Linked DNA regions of Mus musculus: all the other regions are reported to be linked to region 3. The links are microRNA targets in miRTarBase. Many come from high-throughput screens and were not tested one by one. Region 3 holds a microRNA gene; each other region holds the end of a gene's coding sequence.
What was found. The annotated mature microRNA mmu-miR-5125 reads UCUGCCUGGGAUUUCCUUGU and lies in region 3 at 2,931-2,950, shown strand. An mRNA with a match to its seed (bases 2 to 7 or 8) in the 3' UTR can be bound and repressed. Matches are read on the target gene's strand: a 7mer-m8 pairs with bases 2 to 8, a 7mer-A1 pairs with bases 2 to 7 and ends in A, and an 8mer does both.

Region 1 (3,000 bases), not on the chromosome of region 3:
CCCATGAGTGCTAGATCAGAGCCAACTCAGGGATGTGCATCTGAGAGGAGGCTGAGTCTCTTTCCGTCAGTAGCCAAGCCTTCTCCAGTGCCCTGGCACCACTCCCAGCTCTGCTTTGAGTGCAGGACCTAACCATTTTTGTTTTGCTCCATCAGACTACCTAGTTCACCAACTCTCAAAGGTACTCAATAAATATTGGATAAAACATTTTGAATTGGGGGTGAAGAGATGTTAAAAGCACTGGCTGCTCTTCTAGAGGACCTATGTCCAATTCCCAGCAACTACATGGCAGCTGACAACTGTCTGTGATTCTAGTCCCAAAAAATCCAATGGCCTTTTCTGGTCTCCAAGGACATGCACACAAAGGACACAGACACACAGGCAAACATTCATATACATGAAATAAAATTGACCAAAAAAAAAAAATCTATCTCGAGCTATCTTCCCTGGATGCTGTTTTGGCCAGGGTCCTCAGCAAGCATCTCGTGGACTCTGCATTCCTGAATTCGGGTTCCTTTGGCATCACAATTCCTAGTTTGAAATATTCACCAGAACTTGATATACTGGACCTCTTTTATTATTTTTTTTTATTATTATTATGGTTTAATTGGCACAAAGTTCACTAAAGAGCATTTTTTATACAGATTTGTAAATAGAAAAATACAGTGACAAAAAGTACGGTTATTTTTTTTTTTTTATCAAATTTAAACCATTTTCAGAGAACTCAGTTTTGTTTTGTTTCAACAATTCAAGGCAGCTCTTGTGTTGGGCAACTATCACACACATTAAGCCCCGTGCCTGGTGTGGAGCCAACAGGAGCGGCATCTCACTTCTCAAAACCCGCACTATGCCACTGTGCAAACATTCACTTTTTTATGTGTAGTCTTGGCTGTCCTGGAACTCACTCTGTAGACCAGGCTGGCCTCGAACTCAGAAATCCACCTGCCTCTGCCTCCTGAGTGCTGGGATGAAAGGCATGGGCCTCCACTGCCTAGTGTGTGTTTGTTTTTTGAAACAGGACTTCACTATGTATCTTTGGCTGTCCTGAAACTCACTCTATAGTGAAGCCTAGCTTCAAACTCATCGCCTGCCTCTGCTTCTCAAGTATGGGAGATGAAAAGAACGAACCACCAATACCTGTCTGGCATATTGACTTGATGTATTTACAAGAGAGACATTAAGAAATGTGCCAAACAAGCAGTATGCTCCACTGAAGTCTTAGAACAACGCTGGAAGGCACGGCTATGATGGGCCTCATGTCCTGGGTATATAGGATTCAGATGTATAGGCCTCAATGATGAGTTTGGTGTTTCAAAGAGTCCCTTATTTCAAAAACAGTAAAAGCTTAGTGGCCATGGCTATTTTTTTCTGAGGAGGGGTCAAAGGACAATGGCAATAAATGATAGATGTGCAATTTTTTAAAAGTCTTCTGAGAGCCAGGTGTGACAACTACACCTTTAATCCCCAGTGCTTAGGGTGCTGAGACAGGTGGATCTCTGTGAGTTTGAGGCCAGCCTAGTCTACAAAGGGAGTTTTGGGCCAGCTAGAAACTATATGAAAAGACCCTGTCTCAAAAAAAAAAAAAAAAAGCCACTTGAAACTACCATGCAAAGTATGTTTTCCACTATCAAAAAACATCAGTGCCCCACATTCCCAGTGAAAGCTACAGGCTACAAAACACTTCTCTTAAACTGGCCCACAAATGTGACTGCTTAAATACAGACAGTGAACTCCCTCCCTCCAGATAGCAAATAAACACGCCGTTTAATTAAAAAGAGATTCCTTCAGTTACATTAATGGGGGAAGGGGGGGGGGGAGAAAACAAACTGGGAAACACCACCACCACCAAAACTTGATGGGAAAAGTCAGATTGGCAGTCTCCAGACAAGTGAAAGCAGATCCTGAGGTGCCAGACCAAACATACGTACATATGAAGAGACCATACATACATACATGCAAACATACATACTGTAGAAGCATGAGCGATGTTCAGAGGTGCACTGAACCCAACAGACCATGGATAGACACAAGAGTCTTCATGACCCCTCGGCTAACAGCAGACAATCTGACTGATCCCTACTTCACCCACCCCTGCTCCATAAACCCTTCCCCCCACCCCCAAACTCACAGTGAGTCAATCCGATCTATTCAGAGTCTATAGGTATGGCCGCCATCTGTTTATGCTCATGTCAAAGGAAAGGCTATGTTAAAAAGCAATGCTGAAAGACATTGATCTGTGTGTACACACTTATTGACATTCACGTGTTTGAGAGTGATAGTCTACAGTATGGATTTTGAAATCTGGATTCTCAAGACCGTGCTAGCTTTTCCTTGCTCAAAGATCTTAATGTCTTCAATGAGACTCTAGGGCTGTCCTGTGTTGAGGCAGGCGACTGTGTTAAGGCAGGCGACAGGACCATCAGCGTTCTACATAACAGATGAAATCTTTCATGGCTGAAATCTTGGATCCCTAAATGACCCGCCACCGTGGGCTTTTATAAGACACTTTTGGCTCTGTGAAGTATTTCTTCCGATTCATGGACTAAATCATACAAAGCTGCAGCGCGTTACAGATGGATGCCCGAGGTGACCCTCCTGGAGGCGAGGAGAGGCACCTGGCATAGGAGGGGCTGTTTGCTCATCTCATCGAGCTGCCGGCTTGGTCTCTACAGCGGAGCTGGCGGCAACCAGGGGTCATGCGCTGCTGCCACGGGGCTCGCTTGGCGTCTCAACAGCCACACAACCCCTTCTCCTTCTCCTCACTTAGCTGATCCGCAGAGGTATGGCCGTTGGACCGTACCACTCCCTCCGGAATCCAGGACTTGTCCACACACCGCTCCATCCGCTTCATGATCAGGTCCAGGAGCATCTCAATCGCGTGGCTTATGTTTGTCCCGTTGGCAGCACTGGTTTCAAAATAGGGGATTCTGGAAGACAGAAATCACTGGGGTAACAATGTGGGAAGAAAGACAGTGACTTTTGCCCTTCGTAATTTTTTTG
Region 2 (3,000 bases), not on the chromosome of region 3:
AAAGAGATGTAGAATCTAAATAATTTTTATGAGTGGCTATTGCAAAGCTCTTCTGTTATGAAGCAACACTTACTAATGTATCTTTTCAGTGCTCAACATTATGCTGGAGGATGGAAGGAATGGGTAACCTATGAAATTTCAGAGGAGAAACAAGAAAGTTGACTTTTGGAATTACAGACTCGGTGTTCATATCTATAAGGATGGTGGATTAAGCAAAAGAAAAACCCAGCCCTGGCACCAAAGGCTAATAGATTCTGGATGACTGCTTGGCGACCGTTTTCCTCATCTGAGAACTGAGGGTGCTGCTCCCCTGAATATTTCAAAGTCTACTGCACACTGAGATAATATGAGTTGCCACTGAAATTATATTCTACAGTTCATTTTGTTATTCTTTTCTCATACATTACACCCGAAACCAAAGTTTCCCCTCCCCTCCCTCTACAATTAATTTTTAAGTATTTTGGTGTTCCAAAATGATCAGATAAGCTGGCGGTGGTGGCGCACGCCTTTGATCCCAGCACGTGGGAGGCAGAGGCAGGCGGATTTCTGAGTTCGAGGCCAGCCTGGTCTACAGAGTGAGTTCCAGGACAGCCAGGGCTATACAGAGAAACCTTGTCTCGAAAAAACAAACAAACCGATCAGATAGCTCCAGTTATCTAGCCATGTGTCATCACGGTTGTGAGCAAAACCAGTGTTAACAAGCAGCCCCAATTTTAAACAATAACTGAGCTTCTGGTTTGAGACCCATATTTTTAGGTCCAATACTGGAAAGACGGAGGCAGAAAGATCACCATGAGTTTGAGTCCAGCTGGGACTACGGAGACTCTGTTTCAAAAGAAAAGACTCTGGGGTCTGGAGAAGTCAACTCTACTCAGGAAAATATATTCACAGCATCTGAAGACTCATGGCAATGTGTGGGCAGAGTAGTAACAATTCAACTCATTCTAAAAATTATAATTAATGTGAGGATAAGAATCTGATGGGTTTTGACTGTGGAGAGCAAAGTAACCTAGAAGAGGCCAGGAATTGGTGTGGGATACTGGAGATGTTCTGTGGCCATGACTGAAAACGTCAGGAGTGTGTGTGTCAAAACTCATCAAAGGAAGCATAAAAATGAGTGTTTTTCCACGTCAATATACCTCAATTTCAAAACTAATAAAATATTAAAGTTTGACTCCCTCCAGCATGCATGTATTTCTTTAAAGTGTTAAGTTATATGCTTGTTGGTGTGCTGGCATCATAGTAACAAGGTAAACTTGTTTTCCTGCCTGCTGCTTCTGACCATTTGTTTTGACTCTCATTTGTGTAGTTATTTAGATCAGGTAGGACCCACCCAGCAAAGCTCTCCAGGTACTTCCTTCTGCAAAATAAGTGGAAGCCATTGAAAAATGTGGAAATACAAACATTTGAACATCTGTCTCCACAACAGCAGTCTGATTTCTTGATTGTTCATACTAGGAAAGCTGCAACACACACACACACACACACACACACACACACACACACACATACACACACACATAGGCACAGGTTAGCGTACTTCAAGACAGTACTGAAGCAGCAAGGCTTTGGAAGATCTATGAACTTAAGGAGAAAGTAAACTGTAGAGGATGTACCAAAATTGTAGTACTGGGCCCATCAACTAACAGCCTGGCTAGTACCTGGCTTTTAGTTACAACTAATGGTGCAGTTAAGCCATAAATTGACCAGTCCCCTCAAGAACTAAATGTCAACTAAGATCCAAATGCAGGTGTCTTCCTGAACCTCTGATAGATGAATATGTAAATATGATTACCCTCCCATAAGGTTTCATATGCACACTAAAGTATGAATCATAATTCATTCATGTGTCACCAAATGTTCTTTCAACTATTTAGAAATTCAGCAAAATTCTTAAGGCCAGGCCAAAAAGCAGGTGACAAACCAGATATTGCCTATAGAATACAGTTTGCGGTTATCCTACAGGTGAATGAGAGCCAAAGGCTATCTCAAGTTTTCATATGTAATGTCCAGACTTGTATCAAAACTTGCTAGGCACAACAGGAGTCAGGATCTCTTTTGGTTTGTTTTTGTTTGGAGACACTGTCTTACTGTGTAGCTGTAGCTGGCCTGGAACGCATACATACACCAGGCTGGCTTCAAATTCAGAGACTGCCTGCCTCTGCTTCCCAAATGCTGGGATTCAAGGTGTGGGCCACCAGCAGGAAATAGTATCTTATAATTGAAAAGTAGCAGGAAGAGGCTAGAGAGATGGCTCAGCGGTTAGGAGCGCCGACAGCTCTTCTGAAGGTCCTGAGTTTGAATCCCAGCAACCACATGATGGCTCACAACCATCTGTAATGAGATCTGATGCCCTTTTCTGGAGTGTCTGAAGACAGCTACAGTGTACTTACATATAATAAATAAATCAAAAAAAAAAAAAAAGGAAAAGTAGCAGGAAAAAAGGAGCCTGGTATGGTGTTATATTCTTATAACTCTGACATTTGGGAGGTGAAGGCAGGAGGAGTCAAGGTCCTCCGTTACACAGAGAATAAAAGGCCAGCTTGAGCTATATGAGGCCTTACCTCAGAGGAAAATAGAAGAGAGCCAGAGGGGGTTTATATATTGGACTTTCAGACACAAGGATTAAAGTAACTGTTGTCCTAGTTTGATTTTCTATTTCTGTGAAATAACACCATGACCACAACTATTCTTATAAAGGAAAATATTTAACTGGGGCTGGCTTACAGTTCAGAGGTTTAGTTCATTATTGTCATGGCAGGAAACATCATGGCTCACAGGCAGACATGCTGCTGGAAAGGAGCTAAGAGAGTTCTACATCTTGATCTGAAGACAGACAGGATGGTAGTTTGAATATGCTTGGCCCAGGGAGTGGCACTATTAGGACATGCAGTTTTGTTGGAGTAGGTGTGGCCTTGTTGGAGGAAGTGTGTCTTTGTGGTCGTGGGCTTTAAGACTCTTGTCCTAGCTGCCTGGAAGCCAATCATCTCCTAGTTGCCT
Region 3 (4,271 bases):
GTGGCTCCATGATGGATGGTCCAGGTCCTCGGATTCCTGATCACCCAAGATCATCTGTTCCAGAAAACCATGCTCAGTCTAGAATTGCACTTGCCTTGACAGCCATCAGTCTTGGTACTGCCCGGCCACCTCCATCCATGTCTGCTGCTGGCCTTGCTGCAAGAATGTCCCAGGTTCCAGCACCTGTACCTCTCATGAGCCTTAGAACAGCCCCAGCTGCTAACCTTGCCAGCAGGATTCCAGCAGCATCTGCAGCAGCTATGAACCTTGCTAGTGCCAGGACATCTGCTATTCCGGCATCTGTGAACCTTGCTGACTCAAGAACACCAGCTGCTGCTGCAGCTATGAACTTAGCCAGCCCTAGAACAGCAGTGGCTCCTTCAGCTGTGAACCTTGCAGATCCTCGAACCCCTGCAGCTTCAGCTGTGAACCTAGCAGGAGCTAGAACACCAGCTGCATTAGCAGCTTTGAGTCTCACAGGCTCTGGGACACCTCCAACTGCTGCAAATTACCCCTCCAGTTCCAGAACACCCCAGGCTCCAACCCCCGCAAACCTGGTGGTGGGTCCTCGATCTGCGCATGGCACAGCTCCTGTGAATATTGCTGGCTCTAGAACCCCTGCAGGCTTGGCTCCCACAAATCTCTCCAGTTCCAGGATGGCTCCAGCATTGTCTGGTGCAAACCTCACCAGTCCCAGGGTGCCCCTTTCTGCTTATGATCGTGTTAGTGGCAGAACCTCACCTTTAATGCTTGATCGAGCCAGGTCCAGAACACCACCATCTGCCCCAAGCCAGTCTAGAATGACCTCTGAGCGTGAGCGGGCTCCTTCCCCTGCTTCAAGAATGGTTCAGGCTTCTTCGCAATCTCTTCTCCCTCCTGCACAGGATCGGCCTCGGTCCCCTGTGCCATCTGCTTTTTCAGACCAATCTCGTTCAGTTGTCCAGACCACTCCTGTAGCAGGGTCTCAGTCCCTTTCATCCGGGACAGTAGCGAAGTCCACATCCTCTGCTAGTGACCACAATGGCATGCTTTCTGGCCCTGCCCCTGGGATATCCCATGCTGAAGGTGGGGAGCCACCTGCCTCTACTGGGGCCCAGCAGCCTTCTACATTGGCTGCTCTGCAACCAGCTAAGGAACGTCGGAGCTCTTCCTCCTCTTCATCATCATCTAGCTCCTCCTCCTCTTCATCATCTTCATCGTCATCCTCCTCTTCCTCTGGCTCCAGTTCTAGTGATTCAGAGGGTTCCAGCCTTCCAGCTCAACCTGAGGTGGCACTGAAAAGGTGAGGCAATTAAGGGATCTAGGGAGCAGGGACTTAACAATGGGTGGGTGAGTAGGGAGGGAGAAATCTTGTCAAAAGCACTTGGCTTTGAGAAAGTATGGGGGACCTTGGCCTTCAAGCTGGGAGTAGAAAGAATGTTGGGCGGGGGCTTTGTGGGGAGGAATGGGACAGATAAAAGTCTCCAAAGGTTAATTCTCCAGAGGATAATGATAAGTTTTCCATCTCTACAGAGGACAGAACTAGAGGAAATGGACTTAATTTTACAGCAGGAGGGATGGCAGTTAGACCTCAAGAGGAACTCCCTGGGCTGGAAGGATCTTCAGAGGTCATCCCATCCCTCTCCCTGCCTCCAGGCAGGACGGCCCCTCCCCAGCCAACCTGCACTCACAGGGGCCTCCCCAAGCTGCGGCTCTCCAAGGAAGGAGATCACCCAGCTTCAGCTTCCACATCTGAGTCCAGGGGCCTTAATCCTTCATCAGGGACATTCTTGAGGTTTAACCTTGATCCCTTGTGCTTCGGGCCCCAGCCTGTTGCTTGTGTTAGCAGAGGTTTGGTCAGCTCTGTGCCACTGCTCCAGAGAAGTACTACTCACTGGCCTGCCTTCGTGTTTTCCCAGGGCTTTTCTCAGGCACCCCTCCCCCACTGCCGTTCCTCCAGGCCAAGGAAGGTAGGGTTGGGGTTGGGGCATCTTGTCTCCTTGTGACACCTTTCTTCTCTCACAGGGTTCCCAGCCCCACCCCAGTCCCAAAGGAGGCTATTAGAGAGGGACGTCCTCAGGAACCAACCCCGGCCAAAAGGAAGAGGCGCTCTAGCAGCTCCAGTTCCAGCTCCTCCTCCTCCTCCTCTTCCTCTTCTTCCTCTTCCTCCTCCTCCTCATCTTCCTCCTCCTCTTCTTCCTCTTCTTCCTCCTCTTCTTCCTCCTCTTCCTCCTCCCCCTCCCCTGCTAAGCCTGGCCCTCAGGCATTACCCAAACCTGCAAGCCCCAAGAAGCCACCCCCTGGCGAGAGGAGGTGAGTGCTTTCTTGCCTGTTGTGGAAGGGGGGTTGGGGTGAGTTCTCCAGAAAGGGGACCCTGGGTGAGGTTCCTGCTGGGGTGCCTCGTGTGGACGTCTGTGACTGGTTGTACGGGAGAAGGAGTGCCGGACTCCTCCCATCCTCCCACAGTGTTGTATTCTGGTCAAGGGCTGCACTATCTAACTGAGGTGTCCCAGGCCATATCTGGGAAGTCATAGGATTCTTCCTCCCTCTCCCCTCCCCTGACAAGCAGCCTGGTCTCAGAGATCTAGCTCTAAGTCTCCCCATTGCTGCTGCAGGGCTCTGGTCTGGCCACCGTCATCTTCTCCCGACTCTGTCCACAGCCTCCTCCCTGTCTCCCTGCCTCCACGCCATTCTCTTCCACACGTAGCCAGAGGGATCTTTCTAAAACGCACATCTGGTTACTTCCCTTCACTCCACAAATCCTTCCGGAACGCCCTGTGGCCTGCAGGATAAAGTGCCACCTCTGCGGGAATGGCGTGTGAGGCTCTTCACCAGCTGCCCTTGCCCGCCCTGTGCTCCTCCTGCCCGCCCCCACACATGCCCCGTGCTCCGGCCATACCCAGCGCCTTGCAGTCTAAGGAGAGCCCCATGCCTTTGGACATGCTGTTCCTTCTGCCTGGGATTTCCTTGTCTGCCTGGTGAACTCGTTCTGCAAGACTGCATTCAAACAGCACCTCCGAGAAGACTGCCCTGCCATTTCCCTGTCCTGCCCAGGTCCCCATCCTTTCTCTGGATCCCCAGGCCCATGCATATCCATCCTGCTGGGCTGTTTCCTATGTAGGGGGCGTGTGTGCCTTCATTGTTAACCTTTACTACCAAACAAAATTCTTCCAAGGGCAGGGACTCTTTTATCTTTGCATCCCCCGCTGCACCCTGTGCCCTGTCCACTGGGGTACTCGGTGGATGGTGTGCGGGCGGATGGGTGAGTGCGGACAAAGGTGGGTCTGAGGCTGGCCCTGTGTGGTGTGAGGTTTGGTGGTCAGGACCTGGGTGGGTGGTCCTGAATGCTTGGCTGGTGGGTTTGGGAGGATGTGGAGCTATAGAGGCCTACTCTGCTTCCTAGGTCTCGAAGTCCTCGGAAGCCAATAGACTCCCTTCGGGATTCCCGATCCCTCAGTTACTCACCCGTTGAGCGTCGACAGCCCTCGCCCCAACCTTCACCAAGGGATCTACAGAGGTAGGGCCTATAGCAGGTGCTAGCAACCTGACTCAACTAGCTACCATTAATTTGTAAGCAAAATTTAAAAGTTTTTGGTATTGTTCTGTGACCTAATTTCTCCTCTTGTAGCAGTGAGCGAGTTTCCTGGAGAGGCCAGCGAGGGGACAGTCACTCTCCTGGTCACAAGAGGAAGGAGACACCTAGTCCCCGTTCTAATCGTCACCGCTCCTCCAGGTGTGTCTCCTTGGAAGTCTGGCCCTTCTGAGAGCTAGTAGTTAGGGATAGGGATATGTGTGGTGACCCAGAATGACCAGTCTTCTCTATTCCAGGTCTCCATAATCTGGATTCCACTACACCTCATACTCTGGAGACATGAGTATTCCTCATTTTTCCCAGAAGAATCATGGAAGGAGTCTTTGTATGCCTTCCCTTGAACCTTGGCAGCATCTTGAGGGGAGAGCGTCCTCTCCCACCCACCCTTTTTTTTTTTTTTTTTTTTTTTGGTTCCTGTGAAATGTTGATCTCTGTGAGTTTTTCCTGGTTCTTGTGTTTTGGGGGTTGGAGTGGGAGGGAGGGAGTCTAGGGAGGGAGGGGCACAGCTCAGGACATCTAGGCCTCAGATTGTGATGATCCAGGGAGTTAGCTCCCTAAATTCTTGGGTGACTGATGGTTTAACTTGGTAAGTTGTAATCTTTCCTGAAAGAGGAAGGAGCTGAAGTTGGTTGGCCCTGCTGCACCCCCTTACAAGGTTGTGAGGCCCTCTCCCCCCCAACTTTGTTTAAGGCATTTTGGT

Region 1: the mRNA of Rab27a is a reported target of mmu-miR-5125. Seed matches in the 3' UTR shown: 7mer-A1 at 948-954.
Region 2: the mRNA of Tstd3 is a reported target of mmu-miR-5125. Seed matches in the 3' UTR shown: 7mer-A1 at 527-533 and 7mer-A1 at 777-783.

The regions. Positions count from the first base shown.
Region 1 is chr9:73,095,185-73,098,184 of GRCm38, reverse strand. It overlaps Rab27a (RAB27A, member RAS oncogene family), which reads right to left. Exons shown (of 6, transcript NM_023635.6): 6 at 571-2,927. The coding sequence ends at 2,729. Among named protein-coding and RNA genes, the nearest start is that of Khdc3, 5.7 kb to the left of the region's middle.
Region 2 is chr4:21,755,565-21,758,564 of GRCm38, reverse strand. Tstd3 (thiosulfate sulfurtransferase (rhodanese)-like domain containing 3) reads left to right here. Exons shown (of 4, transcript NM_029840.1): 4 at 90-1,183. The coding sequence ends at 162. It also overlaps a transcript of Ccnc not described here. Among named protein-coding and RNA genes, the nearest start is that of Tstd3, 10 kb to the left of the region's middle.
Region 3 is chr17:23,820,409-23,824,679 of GRCm38, forward strand. Mir5125 (microRNA 5125) reads left to right here and starts at 2,883; the gene lies at 2,883-2,961. It overlaps Srrm2 (serine/arginine repetitive matrix 2), which reads left to right. Exons shown (of 15, transcript NM_001368687.1): 11 at 1-1,282; 12 at 2,005-2,292; 13 at 3,383-3,496; 14 at 3,608-3,712; 15 at 3,808-4,271. The coding sequence ends at 3,817.